Lonchura striata: one gene and its partner. The protein of the gene in region 1 purifies or fractionates together with the protein of each later gene. This does not show direct contact. Links are inferred from orthologs where the notes say so. Each region holds a gene or a part of one and is shown on either strand. Other genes may lie near its edges. The genes, in order: RNGTT and PPP4R3A.

Region 1 (14,836 bases):
AAAATCTGAGGCTCTGTTTCAATATTTGTCTGCAATGCCAGGCATGTGTCAAAGCAGTCCAAACAGCTCCTTTCCTGCCCAAGCCATGCCAACTTGTTCCTTTTCATCCACTGCATTTCCCCCTGAGTTTATCCAGACTCCATGTGCAGCAACAAAAAAAACCAGAGTGAGGAACTCCACCCAGCTGAGCCAAGCAAGGAGGGAGTGGAAGACTTGTTTGTTTTTTGGCTGCACTGATTCCCAGCCTTGTCCCACTGCCCAGACAATTGCTCAGCACAAGGGAGGAATCCTTGTGGAGAAGAAAGGGTGCTCTAGCCAGATGCACCCAGCTGAGATAAGGGAAATGCTCAGGGAGGGTTTGCAGCTGCTACCACTTAAATCACATTGACCTGAGCCTACGAAAGTGTGTTGCTTGTGCTGGTGGTTGGCTTGGCCCAAGGAAAGAGGCCCATATTTAGAAGCAGGGTTGTGTTGAAAACAGTTATTAACGCCTTAGAATTTAATTTTATGCTGTTAGAGATATAAAAACTCTTTTCAGCCTGGCTGAAATTTCAGCTACAAAGATCACCTAGCAACAGCTCTACTTGTTTCAAAGCTGATACAACTGCAGTACAGAGAAGAATAGAAAGTAATGAAGTGGGCTGTTTTTCAGGACAAAATGTCTTGTCTTTTCGTTCTCCCTGTTCCCTCTGTGGTAATCAAACTTTGAATCTGAGACAAATAATCAAAACAGACTTCCTATTTGAAAACAGCATAACCTTGTGTATGACCAGCATTGTGTACATGCTGTTTATAGTCATTTGGACATCTTCATCTCTTGTGTAGTTGTTCAATAATTTACACATAATTAATCATTTTTCCTTCTGCTCACGACTCTGTGCTGTTGTGTAGCAACACACGCTGGCATGTTTTTCTAATTCTCTGTGTTAGAGAACATTGGTCAGGCCTAAATTCACACAGACTGATAAGTCTTTCACTGAGGTTTGGAAAGCCTAGAATGTGTGATACAGTATATCTCTGACAAAGTTCCAATTATGTTAAAAAATACAATATTAAAATAATTTAAGCAGATCTAACTCCCAGAAAGTACAAGGACATGTGATGATTTTTATCCCAAAGGGGATTTTTGAGAAGCTGTAGCTGATCTAGACACTTCACAAAGTGACTTTTTTGAAGAAGTGTTAACCTTTTCCAGTAACAGCCTGAACTCTTTCAGAATGTACAGATTGCAAACCCAAAACTTTAAACTACTCAGAGATCTCAGAAATTCATTTCAGGCCAGTACAGAGTAATTTTCTTCCCTTCTTCCCTTTCTGGAGGAACTTATCCTCTCCGAGTAATTCCCTAAAGTCCATCTGGACAAGGACATTTTCCACACTGATGAAGGTTTGAGGATAAGGATGATAAGGTTTTTTTTCATTAATCTTAACCTAGTTGCAGTAGGTAAAGCCAGCAGTGGAAAGATGTGGCATTGACTCCAACTGTAGCTGTATGAACAGCAATGGACCGCAGGCACTGTGTTCTCTGAGGCCAAGTCTATTTCATCATGTCCATCATAAAATTCATTGCTCTGTGAAACCTAAAGTGGTGAGAATGTGAAACAAGCACAGGAAGTTACAGACATATTCCAAACATAATTCTTTTTTCCATTTCTCTAAGGAATGCTTGGATGACAAGAATTTACAACCTATTCAAAATCATCATTTAAAATTACATTTACTAGTTTATTCCTAAAGTTCTCTAGATCAGTGGTGCTGCAGATGTAGGATACACATCCCTCTCTCTATTTTGGAATGAGGCTTTTTTTGGGAAAGAGTAGCATGTGTTCTTGTACAGCTTGTTCTACAATGCATACCAACAGAAAGTGAAACTAACCTCACAAGAGCAACATTTGAGCATCTGATTATATATATAACCATACTCATACATTACCATAACTTAATTTGCATTGAACATATATATTCAGATTTGATTTTTAAAAAGTCTGTGGGGCTGTCAGGCTGATCTCTCTGCTTTAGTCTGTATTCCCTTCCTTTGCCTTTGGCCAGTTTCTTGGGGTATTTTTAGAACTTCAGGCACCTCAAAAGAGAGACTCTGGTCATAATTTATTTTTGTACAGTATGATACACATATTTTGTATAATGAGGTCTTATAAATAAAATCAGGTCTGTATGTATTTTCTCAGGTACTTTATTATAGCTCCTAGATGTATTATTCTTCACAGGCTATATATTCACATACAAAATCATAGCATATATATCTATAGGTACAAAATTATGATGCAGAAAATCTTAGAGAGTGCCTATGGGTAATAACCTTTATTTGTGTGACTGATTGCATGAGAAAGATTTCTGCCAGTATAATAACCCAGATCTTAATCATCATGTATGCAGGTTTATAAGCTGAAACACTGCCACTCTCTTTGCTATTTCAGGCTGTAGAGAAGTGATAGCTCTCTGACAGCTATTTCTGCCCTGGTCTGCCTCTTTCACTAGCCAGGACTGCAGTTACTCCATTAGTTTTAACCACAGCCTCCAGTCAGGGCAAGCTTTTTACTAAGGTGTCCATATTCAGGCAGTAGAGAAACTAGAAAGTATAGCATCAGAACACTGCTGTACTTTGTGGAATCCAGTCACTCCCCAGCCCAGCTCCAAAGACTATGAGTCATACTTTCCACTTAATTAAATTAGATGAGTTTCTCATATATCATGTCATACTTTGCCCTACTACTAGTCATTTTCCATTGTGACATATTAATTGTTTGATTACTTCATCCATACTCAAAGCACCCTACTACCATATGATTCATTTTATGCAGTAGAACACATATTCTTCAATGTTACATGTGGATATTTTTTACATTGTGGATTTCCACTGAAAATCATCCCTCAGAGCTGATGCAAGTAAGGCCTCAGTTGTCTAGGACAAACTTTAAGAACACTAGGGAGACCAGCGTTAGCCTTCCAGGAATGACAGGTGCCTTGTTTATAAGCTTGTTGTCCAGCTTCTTATCTCTGATACATCAAACACACTATCAGTTCAGCTGAACAGGATCAATAGCAAAGCATCTTATTTTTCAGGCCTGCAAATCAGTGCATGAAGTCACAGCTCTTGTCCCTCTTCAAGCACACCAACCCTCTGGACAGACACCTTCTTCCTGGATAGATCTGCTGAGTAAATCATCTACTGAGTAAATCATCTACAGAGTAAATCATCTACAAAGTAAATCATCTATTAGGTAAATAATCTGCCATGTCTGCATGTCTTGTCTAAGACTGCTAATGTTCCTTGCAGTGTGAGATTTACATGTCATCAGTGCAGCACACACGTTTGGTGTTGTAGACTGATTTGATTCACTTTCCAAGTGAATACCTACACCACAAAGTGGAAAAATAATATTATATTACTAATGTTTGCATACAGCTATGGTGATTACCCCAAACATAATACCCAGTCCAGGGACCCAGATTTAAAGCAGCTTTGCCCCAGTTTTACCCTGTGCTCCCTGCCCATACAGAGATTCACTCCACTGATTGAACTAACACTGTGATACCATAGAGACTTCAGTTGAAAGGAAGCTTCAAGATTTAAATAAACTTGAGAAGGCTGCATATATAGCAACCATTAGTCTGTTAATTTTATTACTCTTATAAAAAGGAAGGTGTAGTGAATGTCTGGATTGCTTCTGTTTGAAATTTTATTAAGAACTGTATCATAACCTTGCACTAAAGAATGATTCTGGGAGTTGATTTTGCTATTTTATGCGGTTCCCTGTTTACTTTGGACAGGAAAAGTAACTGTATTTTAACTTACATCTTTCTCAGTCTGTGAGGTTGTGATGCCCCCTAATGTCACAAAGACTAAAGACTGGCAATTTTGTTGCTGACTTTCTTTCTCTCAAAGCTCTCTGTAGAAACAACACTGTAAATGACATTTTATTTTCTCAAATATAGTATGGCACTCAAAACTTTGTTTCAACATCCCTTTTTCATATTGTACACATAAGGAATAAAATAACTTTCTTTTTAAGTCTTACTTTAATTTTCAAACCTGAAAACATAATTTGTCTCAGAAGTTAGGTTCTTAAACATTTGTTGATACTCAACAAATAGGAGTCAATTTAAAATGTTACATTCCTAGAATTTTCTTTTTAAGAGTCAGTGAATACTCATACATTTTTTAATTTAGAAGCTTACATATGTATTAGAGAACATAACCATAAGCAACCATAATATTAACTTCCGCTGAAATCTAAAACTATGCTTTAATTTTACTATTTTCAGGGTTTTTTTTCTTATGATAGCATTAGAATGTAATTACTATTGGAATAAAATACAGCTACAGTAACAAAGTTAAAATATTTATTCAGCAGTACTCACCCATCCCCACAAGATTCATGCATGCTGAAATCAGTCATAAAGGAATACTGTACCCCTAAGTCAGTTTGCTATGAACATTAAAACCAATAAGCAAGGAATAAATCAATTTAATTAGTAAATAAAAACCATATTTTTCTATGTTCCATATACTTGTAAGCTTATTGCATTGTCACTTTCCAAGTGAACACCTACACCACAAAGTGGAAAAATAATATAATATTAATCATGTTTGCATACAGTTAGCTTCTTTCACAGTTACTTTCTCTTAATTAAATTCTTTTGCAATCTCAGTTTAGCTGAGATTTAATCTGTTTGTTTGGGGGTTTTCGCTTGTTTCTTTTTTCAAGAGATGCATTTACTAGATAGAGTCAGAAGTGGCTGTTTCATAGAGCATCCCAAGGGGTGTTGTTCTTATTGCTTTCATTATTTTTTTATGAGCACATGGAAAATAATGCCATACTGAAGCATAAGAGTAACAGGGTCATTGACCTGTGTCACTATAGAAGAGGGCAACACCATGTGTTCTGTCAGGAGAAATACCTAATTTATTAATTTTCTGTAGAACAGGTAACTTACATTTATATTATAAGTAGCTACATAATTTATGACATTAAAAGTGTGAAATTATTAATCAGCAACAATTTGGGTAAATGTTCAGTATGTAATTAGGAAAAAGAGTTAAAATGTGTGTGTGTCATTCCTGTGTGGAATGTAAACTTTTAATGGTTTAAAGTCAAGAAAGAAAAAAAACTCAGCTCCCCACTACCTAAACCAACATGGTTGAGCTGAAACCAAAGCAGTGATACCCATGGCACAGAGAATGATCTGCATCCTGGGAAAATGACTTCTTTACTGTAGTGTCTGCTCTGCCAGGAAAAGGATTAAAACTGGTGAGCAGAAACCAGAATTAAGTGCACAAGCATCTATGTACCTCTAAGATAAAAGAAAATTGATATACAGTAAAGAGGAATATTATATAATTGACTATTAACACTTTGCATTGTTTTCTCAAAGCAATCTTTGAAATGACCACTACAGCCACCCTCACAGTCCTTGTTCAGACACAGCCATGTCAGCTTTAGAACATCACAGGAAGACATGCTGGTACACCAGAAGACTCAGATTAACTGTTGGTATAAAGGCAAGCAGGACATGCCTGTTCACAGAGTGTTTGATGTCACATGCAAACATCACCAGATGCCTGTGCAAATAGTGGCAAGGTGTCTAATATGGCAAAGTATATATATATATATGCATATTACATGTTACATCAGCTGTAAACAATTACTTGCCTTATGCATTGCTAAATAAAATATATTCTCCCATTTCAACTACATATTATATATAAAAATAATGATATTTCTGATCTGCAACTCTTGATCAAAAGTGTATCAGACACTTAAATCTAGGTGATGAGAATCTATTACTGCTCATTCATAATATCTTTTTGTACTAATCTTCCCCTCTCCAAATGGTTTCATTCCTGATTTTGCCATACTGCTAACATTACTGCAAGTTGCCCATAATTTACTGAAATCAGATACAATCTTGCTGTTGCTCTTTGCTTCTCACTTTTTCTGAGCATGCCTTGCACTTGGTTCATTTTCTTTTCCAGCCAGTCTTTGCCACCACCTAGTGTCTGACTTTTTGCTTGTTTGTTCTGTAAAGGAAATGATTTCAAACAGCATAAAGTAACAATATAATGGAAGTGCATTTAGCAGTTAGGGAAAATAATATGATTAGTCTTTTGCTGTAGCAAGACCTTCAATTTTAGCTAGGATGAGAAGATTAGTGTCTGATGGTGACAAAAGCCTTAGAAGACAAAATTCAGAAACTTCTAACATAGTACAAGAACCTAATGACTCAGTTATGCAAACTACCTAGCTGAATACCTGAATTACTATGAGAGGATATTCTAGGGAAGAAACTATGTTTAATAAAACCCAGTTATAAAATGTGTGAGGAAAATGTGTAATAAAGTTTGTAATGAATGCTAGATGGATAAAATTATTTTCATTGTTTCAATGTATTCACAGAACCTAAGGGCTTCCTATTAAGTCTGTACACACAGCTCTGGTTAGTTCTGCAAGTTGTGGCCCCTACTGATTTGCAAAGGCAGCACACCTGGCTTATGGCAAAACAAAAAGTGCAGACAGAACAGTACTGAAATGTAAATAACTAGAAAATTAGGTAAAAAAAAAAAAAAATCTATTGCTGTTGTTTCCTAATGCTTCACTGAAGCCATCTGTACTGATTTTTGGCAATGTAACTAAGATCACAATTACAAGGTGCTTATATAACTTGAGTTGTAAGAGATAAATATAAGCTAAATCATGATTTTTTTATATACAAATGTAACCTGATATATTTATATAACCTGATATAAATATAACCTAAGTCATTACTTTTTATATATCTATATAACCTGAATCATAACTTTTTATACAATGTAATGGCTAGTATATGGTTAACTATATATATTTTTTGTCTATTCAGCTTAATGCTGAATAGATAAAAAAAATAAGAAAAAACTCACCAGGTGGATAGTTTTAGATATGGATAATTATAATACTAATGAAAAATTGGCAAGTACAAAGCCAATTAGCCACAAAATAAAGAATTTAGGTCTGTTAAGACCGGACAGACAAAGGAACACTGTAACTGTGCATGCTCCGAAGACAAAGTTGAAAAGTTCAGATGTGAAGAAGACCTTGGAAGCCTTCATCAAAGACCCCCAAACCGGGGAGGTGCAAGTGCAGTCCAAAAGTATGATCTAATAACCATGAGACCAAACAATGTAAATTAGTTCTGCCACATATATGATGATGTTGTAGTGACATAGTGATACTAAGCAACACTTACTGTATGACTATACTACAGCACAGACAAGGGTGGGTGAGTTAGGTGGAGACATCCCTCTCACCACCAGTGCTGCAATAAACCAATACCTGCTCTATAAACATCGGTCTATGGGGATTTATTTCCAGCCCATCTTTCAGACATCACTGAGATAGTTAATTTTCATTGTAGTAGCTTGTAGGGTGCTACATTTTGCATTTGTGACCAAAACAGTATTGGGAACATTGGGATGCTTTAGCTAATGCTGAATAGATCTTGCACTGCATCGAGATATTTTCTGCTTCTCATGCTGCCCTGACAGCAGGCTGGGGGTGCACAGGAATTTGTCAGGGGACACATCTGGAACAGCTGGTACAATTGACCCCAACTGACCAAAGGGATATCCCAGACCATATGATACTGTGATGTAATAATCAGTATGTAATGATTCTCAGCATTAAAAAACAGGAGAAAGAGTGGACATTTGGTGTTTTTCTTCCCATGTCACCGTTGTGAATGATGAAGCCCAGATTTCCTGGAAATGGCTAAACTCAATTCCTTAATTTTCGTTACATTTATTTCAGCCTCTGAGCTTTCTCACTTTCACCCTTCTGATTCTCTCCCCAGTCCTGCCACAGGCCGGAGAGGGTAAGTGGCTGTATGGGTTTAGTCGGTAGAGGAGTTAAGTCAGGCCACACCTTAAATGTTCCTTCACATGGACAATTACTTCAGGGCTACAATTCTTCAGCTGAATCCATGTAACAAAGCAGATGGAAAATTTTCACTGGCATTCTGCATGGAAACAAAGTTTTTGTTTCTCTCTGCATGCCATCTTTCTGGGTGTGCTTTTTTCACAAAAGAGAAGGCTCAGGACAGAGGTATCTCTGCTACACTAGCAAGTCTGTTACATCCTGATTAGAATATGCTGCACTACTAGGAGGATCTACCCACTTCCACATCCACTCCTGGCTGTGAGAGAACATCTGGCAAAAAGTAAAAGCTGAGGAATTATGTCTGCCCAAGCCTCCAGCTATTTTCAAGTCAGGCTGTTTCCCAAACCTGATGCAGCCTGCTACTTTAGTAGCCATGGATTACACTCTCTTTGAAGCATCTGCTCAGTCTTCCCTGAGACCTGTGTAAACTCTGCATTTGCAGCAGCCTTTGCTGACTGCTCCTGTGGCTGGACAAATGATCCCCCCAGCTGCCCCCAGGTCCTGTTACTTTCCTGTAGTGACTCGGAGGGACTCACTGAGAATCACAGAACCGATTAGGCTGTAAAAGTCCTACGAGACTGAGTCCAACCTATGACCAAACACTATGGCATCAAGTGCCACGTCCAGTCTTTCCTTAAACACCTCCAGGGTGACTTCACACCTCCCTGAGCAGCCCATCCCAATATCTAATCATCCTTGTGAAGAAATTCCTCCTAATGTCCGGTGTAAACCTCCCCTGGTGCAGCTTAGGTCTGTTCTCTTGTTCTACTGCTGGTTGCCCGGGAGAAGAGGCCGAGCCCCAGCTGGCTGCAGCCTTCTCTCAGTCAGCAGCAGAGAGCGATACGGTTCCCCCGGAGCCGCCAGCTCCCTCAGGCGCTTCTTACAGAACTCGCGCTCCAGCCCCTTCCCCAGCTCTGCGGCCCCTCTCTGCACAAGAGGAGGAGCCTGCAGCAGCGGGCGGCCAGCTGCCCTGCCCGGGCGGAACGAGGCGCCGCAGCTCAGCCGCCCTCCTCCCGGCCGGGCGCCGCCCCTGGCCGCGGGGCCCGGAAGCGGAAGCGGCTCCCGGCGCTCCGTGTGCGGCGGCGGCCGAGGCGGGCCGGCTCTCCATGGAGGCGCCGCGGGCCGGGGGCCGCTGAGCGCCCCGGGGCCGCCCCGCGCCCCCTCCCCGCCTCCCTCCCTCCCCCGGGGCCGCCCGGGCCCCGCCATGTCCTACAACAAGATCCCGCCGCGCTGGCTCCACTGCCCCAGGAGGGGCCAGCCCGTGGCAGGTGAGCGCCCGGCCCGCTCCGGCCGTGCCGGCCGCGGGGCGGCGGCGGGCGCGGCCCCTCCGCTGCGGCGCCGCTGCCCGCCGGCCCCGCTCCTCCTCGCGGCCTCTCGCCTCTTTGTCCCGGGGCTGCGGCTGTGCGCTGCTCCACCCCGAGCTCCAGGCCGCTGTCTGTCCCGGACCCGAGTCCCGTTGGGTGGCTGTTCTCCTTAAAGCCCGGCCCGCGGCAGCAGCAGGGCTTTGCCTTCAGCGCCGGGCTCGCCCTCCCCCCGGGCTGTGCCCCCGTCTGACACGGACTCGCCCCGCCTCACCCAGAGCTGCGGGGGTACGGGCCCTCTCCTGCCCCCCGGGGCCTTAGTGCGGAGCTCTCGCTTCGCAGTGGTTCAGTTTCGGGCTGAAACTTTTCCTGTCTGTCACATCTGATGAGAGACGTGACAGCCAGCCATGCAGAAGGTGCCGTACTGGAGCTACTAAGTTGATGAGAGGCTTCGAGCATTTTTCTTAGGAGAAAAAAGCTAAGAGAACTGAACTTGTTCAGCATCGAGAAGAGATGACTGAGAAGGGATCTCATGAATTTGTATAAATATCTAAAGGGGTGGGGGGGTCAGGAAGATGGAGCCAGGCTCCTCTCAGTGGTGCTGAGCAGTAGGACAAAAGGGAGTGGGTAGAAACTGATGGACAGGAAGTTCTACCTGAGCATGAGGAAGAGCTTTACTGTGCAGGTGACTGAACTGGAACAGATTGCCCTGAGAGATTATTGAGTCTCCCTTACTGGAGATATTCAAGAGCCATCTGGATTTAGTCTTGTGCAATATGCTGTAGGATGACTCTTCTTGAGCAGGGAGGTTGGACCAGATGACCCTCTGTGGTCCCCTCCACCCTGACCAATTTTGTGATACCAGTCCTCTGCGCAGCCTCTTCCATGTTTGAGTCTCTTTTTCCTGAATGCTCTGAAGTCTTACCTGTGTCAATTTGTTATTCTGCTAACTGATAGTGCCCTTCCAGTCACCAATGTGCTCCTGAGTGCTTTAGCTGTGTAACACTCCAGTGTTACACTTGTATTTCAGGGTTTGTTAGTAGTTGCTGTCTTCTTGGATATTCTTGCCCATGATGCACTGTCTTGGTTGTTACTCAGTAGCAAGTCTTCTGGCATATAATGGCAATGAATTCATTATCATCTAAACACGCGTTTTTGATTGTGTGTTAGCTATCATTCTGACTTCAGGTGAATGTTTCCTCTGCTGCCTGGTGAGATAAAGTAAACAAGTGTGTCTTTTCAGTTTTCTCAAGTTCTTCTTTTCTTTATAATGCAAGCACTTCCTGCCTACAGTTATTTTTTTTTGCCATTTTTTTCTAGTTTTCACTCCTTTCATATCCCTCTCTATGATGATGTGAAGGTATTTTTTCAAAACACGACATGTTCTACAGAGTGTGTTATTTAAACTGGCACTGTGCCATGATTTGCTTAATAGGTACAACTCTTGTGTTTTCTATCCCACATTTCCACGTCATCTTACATTTTTTGATGGCAGCTGGTTGTGGAATAGAAGACACTGATGACAATATTTAGAACCTGGTGAGACATTTCAGTTGGTTTAATCCTCAGTAATCATCAATATGCATTATTTGGCATTTGTCAGTATTTAACATCAGTTGCTCATTTTATGGGTTACTGGTTTCCATCAAGTTCCTTACACTTCTCTGAACTTGGCTCAGTTAAATAACAGTGTTGTTGGATGCTCATGTCCATTTTCTCCTGATCATGGCCGCACACATTACTTTGTATCTAATGAGAGAAATTTGATAGCCTAAGCCTTTGACCATGACAAAAACAGACTAATGATTCTGTGCTCTTCTTCTCAGCAAGTTCTTGATCTCTGTTAGTTGTGGCTTTTTTTTGTCTTTTGAGCCATGGTTTCTCAGAAATAGCAACCTAGAGTAAGCATGAATGAGGGTCATCAGTGTGTCATCTGCTGTGCCATCACTGCTTGTGTGTGTATATTCAGGAACTGCAAGGTAATTATTTTCCATTCCAGGCAATCATGAACAGGAAGTTAATGCAAAGTGAAAAAACTGAAAGTGCTTGGCTCATTTCTTTGTGTGCTTTATCAGGATGTGTTCTTATTCACCTTTTACTTTTTTTAGCGTGAACAATATACCAAAAGTAAAGGTATGCCACTGATCTTCCCTTTTTTGCTGTTTTACATTCAAAGACATCTAGCAGTTCTACATGAGAGGATTTTTAGGGTTTAATTGATGTTGGTACTATCTCCCAGATGTTACATCCTAGTTTTAATTAGTGTTTAAATCTGATTTCTAAGCACCTGAGTGCGACTTTATTTCCATCTGATAGTGTATTAGTAATAGTGCTGCTAAAAAGTTTAGTATGGCTTCTGTGTACTCGTATTCATTGAGTGTTTGATTGTGATGCTCTTGTGTCATAGTTGTGGCATCTAGGATTTCTAGATGACCTCAAGAAAAGTACTAATGAGTCCTGAAACTCTCCTGTTGGTGAGACTGGGTTCATTCAGGTTAACAGGGCTCTTTATCCTGGACAATGTGAATTCATCTATGTCTGCCATTATTCGCTTCTTTAAATATTGGTAGTTTGTGCCACTTTCTGGTTTTATCCTCAGAATCGCACATTTTCACATTTATTGCATTGTAGTAGAACTTCAGTAATTTTGATGAAAGGAGCTTTCCTCTGAATGCTAAACTCTGAAGTGATCAGGTTGCTTCAGCCTTACTGCCTTGGCAGCACCATCCCAGCAGGTATCTGCTTTTCATGACCACTGAAAACCCATTCTCTTGGCAATTTTGCCATGAAAAGTGCTAGCAAGATACAGAAGAAGAGGCATGAAAAGTGTCTCAGCAGTGTTTTCCAGCCTCCTTCTATTGATGCATATTAATAAATCCTGTTCTAGACACACATGTAGCATGCAGAACTCTGGGATATTATGGAAAGCATCCATATTGCACATGAGAAAGCACCTTAAATAAGAGTAATGTTTCTGGTTCAGAAAGTTTCTGAGCTATAGCTTGTTGTTGGGGAGAATAATCTGGATGATGGATTGTCATTGGCATTATTTTACTCTCTTTCCTAGTTGTCTGTTACTGGTCTATGTTGGTGATGACATACTTGGTGAAATGGATGCTTAGATCCAGCATAGTTCTCTTGAATCAGAAAACTTTGTAGAAATACTGTGGTTTTTTTAATGGTGGATTTTACTGTTTAATTTTATTCCCTTAACCTCACACTTTACCCAGTCTAGCCTTCCTAATCAATGCTCAATCTAAACATACCATGGTCATACTTAATTATTTATGTCATGTTTTGAGTTGATAGCTTCATGTCACAGGAAATCAGGCTAAATTAAGAGTATTTTTTCACTGGTATGCTCTGGATATATGCTCTATAATATATTATATTTGAAGGTAAAAAAAGTGACAAAGTTAGAGCATGTACATGTAGAAAATGTGATACCTTACATTGTTTATTTTGATTTCCTTCAGATTTATCCACTCGATGTCTGTGCTCTGATATACTGGGCTCTTATTTTTAGAATTTTTACCTGTTTTTCAGCCTAAAGAAATACCATCTGTTAGACAGGTAACTAATTTGGAAAATTAGTTTTTAGTAGCCATTTTCCAGAACTATTTGAAAAATTTGAACATAATTGTCGAAGTAGGTAATAATCTGTTGTCAGGGTTCCAGTAACATTTTGAAGTTAATTTGGAAATTCTATTGAGGAGTTACAATTATTGTCATAATGGAGTTGAGGTACTTGAATGATTTGGGGTGCTTTGATGTTCATGTAAAGTATCACTTTGTTACTGTTGGATTTCCTAATTCAGCAAATGAGTTTTTAATCTTCAAAAGGTTATGCAAGGCAGCTTGAGTTGCAATCAGGTATTACTGCATCACTTCTTTAGCACAAGATGTAAGGTAAAACTGTAGAAGAGACCGTAGCTACTGCCTCCTTTATACTTGTCCATATTACTCAAAAAGCTTAGAAACATTTTTAGAATTAGAGCTCAGATTTTCAATAGCTTGATGATGTTTTATGAGAAGCTTGTATGCACATGGGGAAGAAGTTTTTTTAAGCATCTGTACAAAAACCAAATAGCAGATTTTCCAGGTAGAGAAGAAGAAACTGGAATTTATAGAAGCTGAGCACCTAAATACTTCCAAATATCTGTGTTTCAGCTTTGAAAGTCATAGTAAATTGGCTCTATATGAAATATTCATCACTTCCACAGCTGTCTGTAGGCATTCAAATGCTGCAGGGGATGCTGACTAGACAACTTTGTCTTTTCCTGTCAGTGAACAGGAATGTATTTTGGTTGCTCAAAAAGAAATCAGACACTAAATCAAGGTTTGCTACTAGGAAGAGAATGAATGTGTTCATTCTCTGTTCCTGAAGATGGAGAACGGGAGAGTCTTCTGTGCGACCGCACAGTCTCATATCAGATGCTACAGGAAACAATTGTAACCTCTAGGCACTTTTCGCACTCTTCTCTTTTCCCAGCATCTTGTAAAGGATGGTGGTTTTCTTATGTAGCCATTGACTCTTTCATCAGTGCTGCTCCTGTTCTTGAGTGCCATGGTTAAAAAAGCTTAGTTACCTTCTTTGTGTTCCATAATGAATGAGCAGATATGTTAGTATGGGTGTGACAAGTGGCAAAGTCAAAAAACTGTCAAGCATGATGTTGTTTCTCAAAAATTAGGGTGATGATAGATTTTTGAGTATAGATCATGTAAATTTAGGATTTGCGTAATCAGTCTGCACAGAGGAATATTGCAAGGTAAAGTGGAAGGGCTAGCAGAGAGAGGCTGAATGATAGTGTTGGAGGTGACAAGGAACACAAAGAAGCAAGAAAATTAGTTGAAAAAGAAAAAGGTAGTTGAAGAGCTGGGGAAATGGAGGGGAGGTATCCAACCCAACAGCTTTTACCAGGGTGGGTGGAGGGTGTGTAACTGTTGAGATGAAAAGGCAAAGGGCAATAAACGGAAATTTTTCTTACAGTCAAAAAAGTTGAAATTATTATAATTTATTACCATTTAACATGAGTGTTGATTGTATGACAGAATAACTCTCCTTTTAGCTGTAAATTTTGGAATGATCTCAAGGGAAAAGTGAGGCTGTTTCTCATGTTGCTCACTAACATCTAACCTGAGCTAACCAGTTGCATAAAGCTTCATAGTTTCCACATCTGTCTGTCTTCTGTGGTTTCTAATGTTTATTTCATGGAAGATAGATGCTTATTTGAGATTATACAGAGTGTTCCTATTTTTTTTTTTTTGCAGGGATCCTTACTGTATGTTATATTTGCAGGTAATCAAAACTGATGTTTACATGATTGGATGACAAACTGTTATTTTAAAATGCTGTTTTCATGTTTTCAGCTCTACTGAGTTTAAATTTTCTATACTCTGTTGTGTTGTAGCCCTCCCGACTTTAATTACACTAAAAGTTAGCAAAAAATGTTAAATTACTCCATTTTAGATGAACTGACCTGTATTTCCCTTAAACTTTTAAACTTAACTTGTGAATTCTGAGAACTCATAACTAAAAAATATTCAAATTTACTGTTGACTGTAATTCTTGAAGGGGAATGTCTAAAGCTACTCAGCATGTTGA
Region 2 (15,703 bases), on another chromosome or scaffold:
ATTTAATTTCCATTCCAAAAACATCTCCTCTTTAAATGGCTGAAGTCTTGTTTTGCTAACAAGTTTTTGTTTTATTTTGTGAAATGTGTGCATTTGAGTTTAAACGTCTATAAAATTGTGCAATTTGTCATGTGCTTAAAATGCAATTGATTAACAAAACTTACATCTCCTATTAAATTAATATTTCTGATTTTCCCTCATACTGTTACGTTTCTCATGTCCATGCCTTCATCAGAGTTTGTGGCTACAGTGGATTCTCTATACTGTTATTTTGCAGTATTCTTTCTCCTTTGCCAGTCCTCATGCCTACAAAGAAGCTGTACTGAACTAAATGACAAGCTTGTGTGCTGGAATCACCAAAAAGCCACTTCCTGGGAAAACTGAGAACAATATTTGCAATATGAAAAAGAAAAGTACCACACATGGGATAAACCAGAGGCTGATACATGCCAATTGATAGGAGAAGGTTTTCAAGGCAAGTATAAATCAGGAAAGAGAAGGATAGGAAAAGAAACTCTGAAAATGTATTTGACTTGAAGGGGAACCAAGTTGTGCTGGACCTTGAAAGCACAGAGATTAGTCCTATAGCAGGGAACATGGTACAGCAGAGATTTTGATAGCTATGAGCAGGATGGCAGGTGAGAACACAACCAACCTTAGCACAATTCATCTGGGTGTGCTGAAAGGAATTGGGAGGAACATGGTAGAGATATAAAGAGGGTATGAGTATGAGTAAAGGAGGGAGATGAACTTGATTGGATCCATGGTTTCCTCGGTGAGGTCAGGAAAGGGATTTAGGGCTGGTCCATGTCATATATAAAAGGTAACAGGAAAGTATAAATCATAATCCCCATGATTTGGGATTATGAGAAATGAGAAGCACAGAGGAAAGCAGGAAGGGATCAAGGTTTCAGCTTTACTGACTGGAATTAGTCTTGTTTTCTTTTATCTCTAGTTGCCCCAGAATCCTCTCATGGCTGCAAAGGACTAAGATCTTTAGGTGATAAAGGCTCTATGGTGGCTGTATCAGGGGACTCAACAAATGCCAGCTGGCAATTCTGTTGTCCCCATACAAGTACATTAAATTGAATGGCTATATTATACCACATATCTGAAATTATAGGACATCAGGGACCCTCAAAGATCTATCTACCAGAGAACAGGTGTTTACAAGATTTTTTTATGCAGAAGATTTCAGAAAATTTAAAGAATTCTCACCATACTCTTGTAAGTCAGTATTAAACACAAATAAAGACAGAACTGTGATATATTCGTACAGATTATATGTTCTCTCTTTATTATTTTCTCAGGTTCTGTCACTAATGAAAGCCATAAACATCACAAATAAATCCTGAATGTTAATTAATTTAGATAATTGTTAATGAATATTTAATATCTATAATTCTAATAATATAATAGCTAATTTCTATAACTGACAAGCTGCAGTGATGATTAATGAAATGGTATATACTTACACTGTCTTTGGTAGTAATGTCCAAGTGTTGGTCTAGTTGTATTTATTTAGGACTATTCATTCTCCCTGTGGTTTTAGCCCTATTGTCCTGCACCAGCCAGTGCACAGCAGAGCTGTGTCACTGCCATCACCCCACACTTCAACACCCTGGGGTGTGAAAGATGCCAGACCCCCTTTGCACCTCACTGTTCCAGACCCTCCTGGCACACACGCCATTCCCAACCTTCTTCCTCCTGCACATCCGCTGATAATCCCCACATGCCTCTAATGCCTTTGCCCATTAGTCACAGAAGTGTCTGACTTGAGAGCTCTGCTTCGAGGCCACCTATGCTGTGCAACAGACACTTGTAGTAGATTAGTACATTGGACTACCAAGTTTGATTTCAGCATCAATGTTTCCTTGCAGCAGAGCCTTCCATCACTTTCTTCAATGAGCTATGAGAAAAGAATCATTGTTCTTGTTTTGACCATCCCACCTACTTGCTGCTCCTCAGTTCTCATTTTGGAGGGGACATTAAACAACTGAACTTTGCTGACTTTATTCATCTTACAGATGTTTGCCAAATCCTGTCTCGAGTGTGGACCCAAATCCTATCGCTGGTGTCAACCAGAAGAGAGGTAACATACATGGGAAAAGAGGAGGCCAAGGCTGAGTGTAGAATCAGAAGAATTTCTATGTTGCTACTGAGCAAACCCATTCCACAACAATTTAGGTTGTTTTTCTAGGTAACAATAATACCAAAATCTCCAGTTTTGCATTTGGTCTACTTAGCTTTGCTTTTAGCTATAGAAGGGTTGCAAAGTGAGGACAGTGCACATTTTCCTCCCTAAATGCTTGGCCTGTTATTGCAGAGCTCATCTACAGAGCCTGGTGTCAGGTTCTCCCCTCTGCTTTGTTGGCTTCAAATGCAAAATGAAAGACACTAGAACCAGCTAAGATAATTAGTAAAATAATCTCTCGGATAATTGGATGTGCTCTCAATCTATTTATATTACTTACTTGCAACTTGCACCACAATCATTCCTATTCTGTGCAAGTCTTGAATTATTTGCATCTCTAAGACTATCATTGTCACAAACAGTGAAATGACTCATAAAATTTTATTTTAAAATTGGAAAACCAAACATATTTAAATTGCTGTCAGTACAATGGCTGATTCTAAATTACTGTCTTCAAAAAACTTACCTGCCTCCTGGTTTTTTCATGTTTCTGACATATTTTTACATTTATTACACTTTATTACATACAGATACATTGTCACTTTCACTAGCTTTTGTCCAGGAACCTGATCCTAAATTTACACAGGTCTAGTCCAGTCATCCCAGATGACTGCTCCAATTGAAGTACCAAGCTGCTGAGACACTGTGTGTGTAAGGATGAGTGTCCACCTACCTGTGTCCATGTGCCGCTGTCTTGTTCTGGCTCTGACAATGTGCCTTCTCCATCCCTTTTGGCTTTTCTCCCTTTTTACTCTCAATCCACCTATGTAGTTCTTATTTACACAAACTGGAAACAGCTTCAACAGTTTCCACACTCACCTCAGCATGTGCCTAAGGTAATGAGGAATTTATTTAAGTGAGAGTTTTGCAGCTGATAGTAATTTTTAGGTGATTAGGTAGAGATATAATAGAAAAATTGAAGTAATTTTTACCCTTCTGAGTTTCTGATGGATTTTCAAAACTTCCTGGAAACAAAGTTATGATGTGGATCTCATGCTTCCTGTGTCTCTGTCCATCACTTTCTCAAAAGACCAACAAATGTATGGGGCTAAGGGAAGCCTGTTGTAGTCTGAGCTATGGATGAAGTACTGGAAACCTTATTTAAAAAAATACTTGGGAGCAAAAATTAGGAATAGGAACTCTGCCATAGAAAAAGAAAAAAAAAATTCAGAACTCTTACTGAAATGTTACAAACACAGTCAACAGGCAAAATAATACATGCAAAAACATAAATATGTACTGCATAGGGACAGCCAGCACAATTCAGATGTCTTGGAGTTCCCCTTGCAGAAGGAGGGGAATTTTCACTGCTGGATGAATAAATGATGCAGACACGTTCTCTGTGTCAGCAGTGCTTTGAAATTCTTCAGTCTGATGATAATGAGGCCTACATATTTAGATAAAGAGTAGCATTTTCAGAGAAGCATACAGGAATTCAAAACAAATACAGACTTTGCATGACTGTGCAGTTGCAGAGAACTCCTGAAAGAAAGCTTTGCTTGGAAGACAAGGGTCTTTTCAGTACTGTGAAAATTAAGATGACAATAGGAGGTTGAAAGAAAAGAGATGACATTTTTGTTAAGGAGATTCATTATGTAGGAGGAAGAGTCCCAGATTCTTAACTGCTGGCCTTCACAGATTCATCTTTGTGGTTCAGGTACAAGAACAGAATTACTGCTTCTCAGGATCTGTGGCAGGATGTGAAAGTTGAGTGGCAGCATCTGAGATATGATTCAGAGGGTGTGGCTGCAAAAGAGTGCATGCTGCAGGAATCTGAGATTTTGGAGTGTGACAGATGGATGTGCAAAAAAATAAAGCTCCTCAGAGCAGTCCTTTCAGATCCATTTCAATGTCTTAAAATTTGTTAACCATGAGGACACCAGAATTATAGAATGTGGCATTAAAGCTACTTTTATTCCTGATGTTACATTCTTCCACAGTGTGCTAGTTTACAATCTGTCCAAAAAGCATATTATAGGATCTTACAGACCCAGAGCAGTATCAGAAGTTTGTGTTTGGTTGCTTGTTTATTATGCAGCCTTGCTTCTTTCAGAGCTGCCTTACTATTTATTCCCATAGATGTGACCCTGTGTTTGGCTGTATCCGAAAGGTCCTGTTAGGACCACAGCCTGACTGCCTGAGCTGCTTATCCATCAGGTCTTGAACAATCACTATTTACAGCTCAAAATTTTATGTGAAAGTGTCATTGCTTGCCTTAAATTACTGGGAGGCACTGATGAGCTCACAAACATTTGTAAAGCTGGAATAAGCCGGAAACAGCTGTCAGTAACCTTCCCAGCTGTCCCAGGCTAGGATATTCTTTCTACATCAGCACCTTCAGGAAGTGAAGCTTTCTGTTTCTGACCCTTATAGCCTCATCCATTTCTTGCCATTCTTCCAGGCTCTCTGAGTCATACACAGCTTTTATGCACAGAGATTTTACATTGACTTTCCAAACATTAAAAGAAATCCTAACTACCATCAGTCCTGCTCTTGATTTCTCACAATCATCTAGGATCATCTCCACAGATCAATAATTCCTTTTGAGCTATACCAGTCACCTCAAATGTGACCCATGCAATGTGAGCTTTCTTCACAGAATACAATTTTAACTTTCCAGAAAAATACCTGAGAACTATCCATGTATATCTGCTCCATTACGCTTATGAGCAACATTGTAATTTAACAATAAATTAAATTTTTCTTGCTAAAGCCACATCAGCTGCTACTGCTATAAGCCCATCTTTATTGCATTCTGTGTGAGCATTTATTGTCTGTGACTGATGTCAGATAAATCAGCCTACTATTACCTGGGTTCTCACTTGTTCAGTTTGAATACTAATAGTCAGTCTTCATGTCTTCCAGAATTTCTGCAATAATTTAAGCTTTATTAAAAGTTAATAATGTTTCATACTTCCTGAGATCACACACACAAGCCTCTTTAGGACTCTCAAATTCAAGTTTTTTAGGACTTGTATACTTGAATAAGTTTCTCTCTAAGAGAAATTGTTTAATATCCCTCTAAATAATGACTAGGAAAGAACTTAGTCATCATTGTATGATACAAATATATTGCACATTCTTTCAAGTATAAAATTTATTTATTAAACAATTCCATTTTTTTGGTAGCAATATCAACATTTTTAAAATCTTGATATAACAGGCCTATAAGAGTGTTAAGATTTAGGAAACATGAGCTGTTCCTAAAACTACCAACCATGCAAATTTATTGAAATCCTTATCCATTTTTTCTGTGCTTCATAACTTGTAATGATTGCTAGGTTTGCTTTTTGTCTACTGTATGTATTTATTTTAAACTGCTTTGTTTTCTTCCCCACTAAACTAGAAATATATTTTTTCTGAATCTCCCCTCTTCTTGATCACAATATTCTGACTCCTGTACAGACATCTTCTTTATAGCCTCCCCCTATTATGATAATTTTTCCATTTAATTTTTTCTTTGCACTCAGTCATTCATTTTCCACAGGTTTTTGGGGCACAAGTCAGAATACATGCCTTGGGAACAAGAAGACATAGAGAGTGTCTGCGTGTGTGTAGTATGGATTGTAACCTTGTTTGCACATACTGAGTATAGCCAGATCTATATACTCAAGCAAGTACAGACTTTCATTCTAGCAATAATCTTCACCATAATAAAGTATATAATAATAAAGTATGAATTATACTTTATTTATACTCTATTTATACATAATAAAGTATGAAGTTGTTAGTTTCCCTAACATTTTTTTTTCTTTTAGAAAATAGTTAGCTAAGAGTTTTAGGAACTCTAATAATGCCTTAGTATATAGAACCAAATTTATATGTGTGACCTGAAGTTATTCACAATAACAATGCAATTTTCTTTCCCAAAATTATTACTAGACACTGAAAAAAAAAGTTATCTTGTTCTTTATTCTTGACTGCTGTGCAAGAATATGGTAATCCCATATTTACTATGGTAAACCCAGTTTAGGCTTATTCCTATTGCATTGATCTATGTATAGTTACTTTCCTAGGAATATGAAAGTTTAAAACAGTATTCAACATTCCATTTCATCATTTATTACTTGGTTCCTGATGGGCAAAAGTTTCTGTCAGGGCTAGGTCCTTTATTATTTCTGGGAACTAAAAAGGTTAAACATTTAAACTCAGTGTTAATAACAGCCTCTCCTCATGCCTGAAGATATTTCCTTCTAGACACAAACTTTCAAACGAGTAGAAATGGAGAGAAGGCATTGAGGTGTGACCTGACAGACTTGCTTTCAAACTCATTATTCCAAGAAAAATAAACAGAATGTTTCTTTCTTTCCCAGCTAATTTCCAGCATGGGAAGTTGCTCTCAATGCCCAACCTTTTTTTCTGGAATGACTGGGGTAGAAATGTTAGGAAAAATAAAACTCCCTTGCCAAATATAATGAGAACTGGGTTAAAACCTGACAAGTAGGCACTATTGTCGGATCGAGCATTGTTCAGTTGTTCAAGATAACTCAAGGCCCATTAAAAGAAGCTGAGCCCAAAATTTGCATTAAGCAAACCATGCAAACTGAAATCTGATTAAGTTCTTGTTTTCAATTCACAAAAAAACAAAAAATTAAAAAAAAAAACTGCAGTGAGCAGTGCGGTCTTTACTTAATCTGATGGCCACAAGAGGGTACAATTTGTAAATGGTACGTTAATATAACAGTCCTACAAGAGTTTTCTCTAAGTGACATCAATCTTTTCTGAAGTCACAAAAATCCATCTCCAGGTTGGCCTGAGGGAGATTTTGGCACAGCACCTGCCCAGATACAGCTCCTTGAGAGCTGCCCAGGAACAGCCCCTCAGGAGCTGCCCAGGCCTGTGCGCGTGCTGTGCGGTGCTCCCCTTCAGCCAGGCCCACAAGCCACAGCTCCCGGACACCTGAATCTCTTCAAACCTGTCGCTGCTTTGGCCAAGAACACCGCGCTGAGAACAAGCACAGCGCGCCTTCAGCGATGTCCTTAGGCACCCAAACAACCCTCTCAAAGGTTCTTGTATTCTTAACCAGCCCTTGGGCATCAGAGCAAAGGCCAAATGGCTGTGTCTGGGCACTTCAGGAACCACAGAATATTCTGATTTGGAAGGGACCCATCAGGATCATCAAATCCAAGTCCTGGCCCTGCACAGGCCACCCCAAGAGCCACAGCATGTGCCTGAGAGCATTGTCCAACGCTCAAGCTCTGCCAGGCTGCTGCTGTGACCCTGGGATCTTGCTCAGGAAGCTGCCTATCAATCCTGCTGGCATTGTCTTTCAACAGGCCAAGCAAAATAGAAGATGGACAAAGGAAAACAGGACTTGACTAGAGGATTCCTTGTGATACATAATTAATCCTGGTGAAAGCTGCAAATGTGTTGTTTGGGCTCAAACCACCCTCAATACAACTCACTTTGATAAACGAGTATCAGGACTTACTCAAAGGCATAAAATAATAGAGTACATATTGCAGTGAGCTCCCATGTACAGTGACTATCTATAAGGTAGTGTGAAATGGACTCTTCTGCAGTGGCGCTGCCGGGTCCCAAATGCACCAGCGTTTTCACATATTTTAGGGAAATCTGTCAAACATATGCTCAGATATTGGCAGCAGCCGTCAAGCCTCGACAGCTTCTGATATTGGAATTCTTTTATCCCATCTATGACTGCGGAGATCCAACAGATATTCACCAAAAGCCGTTTAACTTTGGGATCACTCGGCAAGATGTGACAGGAGAGAAAAAAAAAAAAAAAAAAAAAAAAAAAAAAAAAAAAAAAAAAAAAAAGTCTAAGAAAACGTCAACTCCGGGGCCCGCCGCGCCAGCCCCGGACCCGCGGTAACGGCGCTGCCACGGCCGCATGCGCGTCCTCCGCGCGGGGCCGCTGGCCCTTTAAATGCCGGCGGGCGGCCCGTGCTGCCGCTGGCTGGGAGACCCCGCGCCTCCAGTGAGAGGTGAAACCAAGATGGCGGCCGCGCACTGACTGAGGCGGAGCCGGAGGGAGCCGGGCCGCACCAGCCGCTGCCGATCGCCCCCTCCCTCCGCAGGGCACAGCGTTTCTCTGCTGGCCGGGCCGCCGAACGCCTGGAAGCGCAGCCACATCTCAAGGCGCGCTGGGGAGTCGGGACTGAGCCGCCGCAGCACCAGGAGGAGGAGGAGGAGGAGGAAGAAGAACATGGCGGCGGAGTCAGGCTGGGAGTGAAGCCGCCGCCTGCGACCGGAGCCCATGGGGAAGACGGGGCGCTGAGCTCGGCTGGCCGTTCACCCTGTCCCCGGACGGGCAGTGTCCGCAGGCCCGGGCAGCCCGGGCGGGAAGGAGGGCGGCTCCTTGGAGCCCCGCGCTGACGGACGGCGAGCGAGGGGCTTCGGGCCTGGGCTGCTGCTGCACAATAGAGCCGGGCTACAGGCCGGGGCGAGCGGCCCCGCTCCCGGCTGCGTCCCTTCCTCTGATTCCCTCCGGCCTCACCAGCTTCCCCCCTGTTTTCCTCGGCAGGGCTCCGGCTTCCAGGAGCGCCTGCTCCTGTCACGCTGGGCCGGCTGCAGCCCGCCGCCGCTTCCACTACCGTGGATCCCCTTCTCCTCCGGAGTCCCTCCTTCGCCGCCTCTCCTGCCTGCCCTTCGCCCTGCAAAGAGCCTCTCTCCTCTCTGCGGCTCTCCCTGCCTAGGTTTACTCGCCTTTTGTGCAGCGCCTGACTGTACCTGAAGGAGCAGCTCCCCTTTTCACATCTTCACCTCTTGTTTCTCCCTCTTCCCCAATCCTCTTGTTACCCTCGATAATGAGGATCCCGTTGGGGCACTGAAGAGGAGTAAGAAGAGCTTGCTTGGCGTGCCCGTGTGGGGCTGCTGCCTTCTTTTCCGCTCGCCTCCCCTGAGGGGGGCCTGGCCCCCGAGCAGCCTTGTGCTCCTCCAGCGGTTGCCAGCCAGAGTGGTGGCTGCGGTGCGGCAGGCGGCAGGATGACGGACACCCGGCGGAGGGTGAAGGTGTACACGCTAAATGAGGACCGCCAGTGGGATGATCGAGGCACGGGGCATGTGTCCTCTTGCTACGTGGAGAGGCTCAAGGGCATGTCCCTGCTAGTCAGGGCAGAGAGTGATGGTAAGTGTACGGCTGAAGGTACAGTCTTTCCTCGTCCTGCCCAGGAAAGGAACTGGGTGTAGCTTTGTGTTTGTAGCGTTAATGTTTTGCTGCATAATTCAAATGGTATTCCTAAAAGCAGGCAGGCACTAACCAGGGTTCATTCGTGCTAGGCCAAGTGAAAGAAACAGGAGATTGCCATCAAGTGTAAGCATAGTAGGCACTTAGTGCGTACACAGTGTTGCATGCAAAATGCGTTCGAGTCTCCTTGTAAATCTTGCATGGGTTTGGATATCTACTGGTCTGGTTTCAAAACTGATCCCTGGATCTTGCTGGAAGTGATCCTCTCATGAAAGTTGTTCAAAACTTAGATCTTGGGTTTTAGTATTTGTTTTTAAAAGATCGTTGGATGGCTAATACCCTTTTGTGTCCACTTGCCCTTTTGGTAGCTTTTAGAATTATGTAAGACATTCTAACAGCTATCAACGGTTTTCAAAGTACAGTTATGGTAGTAAAGGCAATACAAGGGGCAGAACAGCATTTTCAGTGATGCCTTTTTTTTTTTTTTTAATGGGATGGGAGTACTCAGTCCTTCAGCAATTGGTTTCTGGTAGCATATGTCAGGAGTATATGTTAAGAGTAATATAGCCCTGTAGCTACATGTTTGGGCTAGTCTTGACTATTGGTTAAGTGAGTTCATGACTGCTGTGATCAGAGATTTAGAATGTGTACTTCACAGTATCAGCCTTGTACCGTTTTGCTTTTGAAGTCTGTCAATGCATGACTTACTACTTCATTAGATGTATAGCTACTGTATTTAGTGACATGTAGATCTAGTTATGCTTTTGACTGTCAACAGACCTTGTAATTTTATTTATTAAGCTTTTTTATTGTAGGAAGTCGGATGAGAAGCAACTTGAGAATCATTAATCCTTACTTTTTGGGAAAGTTCTGATAAACTGTACAATATGTAATGCTTACAGCAAAGATCATAAACTGATATGGAAAAATCAGTCATCTAAGCAGGATTTTGATAATTGGGTGTCTGATAAGCTCTCGGATCTCACAGATTTTTGATTATACTTTAACAGGTTACACTGGCACCTGATTTTTATTTATTTTACAGCAAGGAAGATACATTTAAATCTTGAGCAGCTTCATATAGCAAGAGAAAGCATTCAAAATGGAAATAAATTTAATTTAATTTCAACATGTGGAGGGAATTAAAAAATTTATCACTAATTTTCTTTGCTAATTTTTACAGTATGTGTTGTTGTAGATACTGTCCTGGCTGTTGGGGACATGTTTAAAAACTGTTCTCTCCTATATATTAAAAATTTTCTGTTTTTTAAAAAAAATTTTAAAAATTCTTTTTTAGAAAAGAAATCGAAAGACCTGCAGCTCCTAACCTCCTTGTAAAGAAATAGCTAATTTGAACTAAAATCCATTTATTAACTTTTAGTGGGATATGTGTGCTTCAGTCTCATTAAAACCTGAGTTGCACTGTTGGTGCCAGCTCTCTTGTAAATAAATGAGCATCTGTAAGAGGGAAGATACAGACTGGTACTAAAAACTAAAATTAAGTCATTGCTTTAGCTGGCATAGCTAAGATACTCTAATCAAAGCAGGAAATGTCTCAAACTTACTAATTGCACCAAATACACAGATATTTATTTGGTAGGATATACACTTTAGACCTCTCTCTACTGCATACTTTCTACTTCAAAGTATTGAATAATACAGTTAAAATTCTTTATATAGTAGGTAATATCAGTCCTGAGTAAATGTCCACTCTAGTAATAGGCTAGCTTTTCTAACTTGCTTGTGTAGACACCTCATAAAATTTGATTTATATTTTGTTTACTCCCACTGTTGTTTGTGGGCTAATTTTGAAGGCAGATAGTCATTTCTACATGTGAGCAAATTATTTGGAAAAAGGTAATGCCATACCTGTGCTTTACATAGTGTGCAATTTGTGTTTCCTTGCATGCTTTTTTAACTAAATGCAATAGTTGATTGTGATTTTTAACTTTTTCCCAGTTAACCAAGACATAAAAGTAGTATGAACTGAGTAGTAGAAACTGACCTATACACCATTTGTCACCATGTTGCCATTGCATTCTTGTATTGTCTTTCTTTGTCAGCTCCTCCTCTTTCCACAATGAAATTTCTTCCTTCCTGCATTTCTAAACCAGCTTTTCCTAGCCTTTGAGCTGAGATTCATCCTGTGCACACTGGCATATTCTTACTGATTTACTCCAGGAAGCTGACAGAAAACCTCGGGATCTGCCTGAAGGTGAAGGCTCCATTTCCTGAGCAGTTTCCTTATGTGTGTGGGAAATTCCCACTCCTGTTAAAGGGCCAGTTTGGCTATGCACAGATCAACAGCAGAATTGCCAGTGGTTTCTTTGGCTGACCATGTGGGCTAGCACGTGGTTCAGTCTTTGGATTTTGCAGCTGTGACTTGGTGTAGTAGGCTGCTTTACAAGTGGTTGAGATTTTATTGCATAGTCAGGCTGTTCAGATAAGGGAAGTACAATCAGTGTGCCACATCCAATGTAAGCTGTCCTTTGGAATTGGAGGAATAAGAACTGAGTAAAAGGAGTTTTTATCTGTAGCAGTGATTTTTTTAAACTTGTGTGTGCTGGTGCTTAACACAATCATAAAAGAAAATCATTTAGAGTAGATGAGTGAGTTGTGTTGTTAGCTGCATGTCTAATGTTGCCAGGCACTAAACTGTTAAGAGTCATTGCAGACAATCTGGAATAATCAATTTTAGAACAGAAATACCATAAACTGCTTTCATATCAGGTATGTTATGCTTTGAAGCATGAAATTGTAATTTTTTTTTTACACTATAATAGGTATTCACTTTTTATTTAAAACCCTGAAAAGTTTCTCTGTGTGATTCCTAGTTGTAATGTATCCTACTTGAATTGTAGCAGAGCAAGTGTGAAATATTTTCTTACAAATTATCACCTACCGTGTGAGTCTGTGTGTAATCAAAAGCCTTTGATTTCTTACTCATTTCTGACATGGTATTTTAGCCTACTGTGGCCAGCCTTATTCTTAAAGTGTCTGTGCTTCTTGGGGTTTACTGGATGGTTTCAGATCACCTTGTTTTTGTTCTGAGCCCAGATGTCTGAAGTGACAGTTTCTGTTCAAGTAATTTTTGTTAATTTGAAAGCTTAAACCTTTTATTAAAACTTACTTGTCCTGTATCTAAAGTTTTTGACAAGTGAAAGTTAACCCCTCCACTGCAGGCCATATTTGTGAGCTCCCTTTTAGGAACTCTCATCATTTTCATTCAGAAGTTGTAGTTTGCTGCTTCTGAAGTGTGTATGTTAATGACTTCTGCCACAGGGCAAGCACCTATCCTTGCTGTTTCTGTAGTGCAGGTATCAGTAAACCTGTACAACTGGCAGGCTTAGACAAAACTTGGCTTAATTTTTTTTTACCTTGTTCAAACTAAAGCGACTGATTTTATTGCCTTTTTTTTTAGGTAAGCAACACAGTATTTATCTTGTATCAAAGTGGGAAAAAGCTTGGGGGAAGATGACTTGGGGTTTTTTTTGTTTCTTTTCTCCTGGTTCTCCCCTTTCCTTAATATTTGGGTTTGGCCCTCCAGAAGTGTCTTAGACTCAGGAATATTCTCTTGAATTTGTAGAACACTTTCTCGGGCCTCAATTTCTTGAGTTTGAGGATTAGTTTCTGTGATTGGGTTGCAGCAGAACTAATTGCAGAACTTAAACCTCTGTGTGCATCTTGCAAGAAACAGCTCTTGAATTGAAACTTTCGTTTAAATGTAAACATGTTTATAGTGGTATGGGGTAATGAGCAGCACTTTTTCTTTTCTGCTTTTGAGGAAGACTCCATGTAACAGTTTTGGTGGGAGAGCAGCAGTGTGCCAGATTAACTGGTCTCTTCCATATGCATATTTGTAAACAAAGCTGCAAATTTCCTGTTCAAGACTGTTGAATTGGGATATTTGATGTCTCCAAATATAATTGAAAATAGCATCAAATATCTCTTTTTTAATATGTAATTTCTTTTGAGCAAGTCTTTCCCTATACCCACATTGCTTCTGCATCACAGAATGATGTTTTCTACTAACAAAACTCCCAGCTGTGCTGTTCTGCATTACAGTGACAGGTAATAGAACTCTGCAAGTCAGTTTTCTTTTTTATAGGTGGTTTCAGATATTATTTTTTTGCTCCAGTGTTTTTCAGTTACCTTTACAAATTTGTTAAAGGGTGTAATTTAAAAAAATAATTAGATATGCATAATTTTGGAGCATTTGCTTAAAACATAGCCTGCATTAAAGTGAGTTTTCAGCTCTTACCTAACTTTGAATGGTGTCATTGGGTCAATGAAGATGAAATTTTGTTGGTGTATTTTTATGAAGTAAACTAGATAGTCTTAAGATTTTCTAGGATACCTCCAGTGAAAAAATACCTACATAGAAAGTAATGCTTCTGACAAAAGCATCTCAAGTGATAATGACTTTGAATGCAGGTTTATTTGTGGTGCGTTATGTTTCTGTAACCTTTTTTCTAAAGAATACATCTGTGTTTCAGATGTCTGTTACTGCTGCCTGGTTTCCACATGCAAGTAACAAAGACCTAACATTAGCTCATACCAGGAAGGGGCCTGATCCTGTAAAATTTAGTATAGAAAATAAACTCACTGAACTAACCTAGTAGATTAGCCACTGATATTTGACTTGTTGAATCATTTTTGGAGAACTTATTGCACAGAGGGAGCATCATATTTTCCAGAAGGATAGATTTGGGGCAGGTATTAATTCTAGAGCACAATTTACCTTTCAGTATGTTTCTATCTCCAGATCAATATTTTTCTTGTTATTGTCCAAAATGGTGAGGAATAAGTTGAATCATGTGGTAGTGAGAAACAACTCAAGCCTTAAAAAGCTTGATTTGTCTTTCCTGCAAGCATCAAGTTTTGTAGAGAAGAAGAAATGCTCTTTTTTGATAAGTCTAGTAAAGAAGTCATTCTCTGTTGTCTGCTTCTAGCATGGAAGATTAAGTGTCTGCATTCAATTGTTTTCAATTTTTTTAAATAGTATTTTGTCAAACATGACATTTAAGTTATGTATGATATTCTTCTAATGTTGAGATTTACATGTCCGTAGGTCTGTGTTCAGCCATTAAAATATGATGTTGAAATTATCAACTACTTTTGATTCCTAGAAGATTTTAGTTCATACTTGCTGATATTAAATATTTCTAGACAGTAAAGACTTTCTAGAAGTTTGTCTGCCAATTTTTTTACACAAATAATATTTTAAATCTTTATGTAGTAGAAGCTGGGACTTGGAAAGCATGACTGACTCTGCGTATCTGATGATTGTAAAAAGGAAATGCTCAGTTTAGGTGTAATTTAGGCATAGTCTAAATTCAAAGTTTGAGACAATGGCCAAAGGATGAGCAATGGATTGGATTCATCTGTAAACCTCATCTTAGATGTTTTCCTTCTCTGTCCTGCTCTATGGTTTTTGATTTATTTTTTTTTTTTTCTTTAGTTATGCACTTACTCTTAAGCAAATAAGCTGCTTTGGTAACAGAGCTGATGTGTGTCAGAAAACTGAAAAAAAACTCAAAAAAACCTGAATAGTATATTTGGGCTTGAGGCAAGAGAGCTTTTTCTGTGTGTCGTGTTTTCCCTTGAGTGGTATTTATTTCAGTTTTGTTGTTGAATTTTATTGAGTTTGTAAACAGCTTTTACTCCAAGAGCAGTTGAGACAGGGTGATAACTTCTCAAGCCAACTTCATTAGTGAAAGCTGCCTCCTGTAGAGCAAAAGACTTAGAAATTGGGAACTAGCAGCTTTCACAGGTACATTAATTTGAAAAAAATACTTAATTGTATTTGATGATCACATACATAGTAAGCTAGTGGATATAAAATTCATTGGTAAAGCTTCTAAATTCATCAAGTAGTAACCTTTCTTATCAGGCAGAATGTTCTGATATTCTGTAATTCTTTAATGATACACCACTCTTACAGCAAATGAAGTTCTGTGATCTGGTTCTTCAGTCTCTTGCCTCACATCCCCCAACCTAACATCTTAATCAGTATCAGACAGGGGGATCGAGTGCACCCTCAGCAGTTTTGCAGGTGGCACCAAGCTGCAGTGGTGTGGTTGGCATGCCTGAGGGACCAGATTCCATCTGCGTGGACCTGCACAAGGCCGAGAAGGGGGCCCTTGGGAACCTCAGGACGTGCCAGGTGCTGCACCTGGGTCAGGGCAGCCCCTGGTACCAGTCCAGGCTAGGGAATGAGCAGATGGAGAGCAGCCCAGATTTTTGTAATACATTTGCCTTAGAACTATAGTGATGAAACTGAGAAGTTAACACTTTACATAAAGTTTGGACATATCTTAAAGCCTAAATTTAACCAGATAAGTAAATGGAGAAATGCCCCT

What was found.
Region 2: the proteins of RNGTT (region 1) and PPP4R3A purify together in Homo sapiens (affinity purification with mass spectrometry; 3 studies listed by BioGRID and IntAct, with this or other methods). This does not show direct contact. The link is inferred for Lonchura striata from reciprocal best matches to the Homo sapiens genes RNGTT and PPP4R3A.

What each region holds. Positions count from the first base shown.
Region 1 is NC_134605.1:78,266,134-78,280,969, forward strand, and holds the start of RNGTT (mRNA-capping enzyme), read left to right. Parts: upstream 1-9,071; 5' UTR 9,072-9,134; coding exon 9,135-9,198; intron 9,199-14,836.
Region 2 is NC_134608.1:16,525,635-16,541,337, forward strand, and holds the start of PPP4R3A (serine/threonine-protein phosphatase 4 regulatory subunit 3A), read left to right. Parts: upstream 1-8,128; 5' UTR 8,129-9,139; coding exon 9,140-9,281; intron 9,282-15,703. UniProt on the Homo sapiens protein: Regulatory subunit of serine/threonine-protein phosphatase 4. May regulate the activity of PPP4C at centrosomal microtubule organizing centers.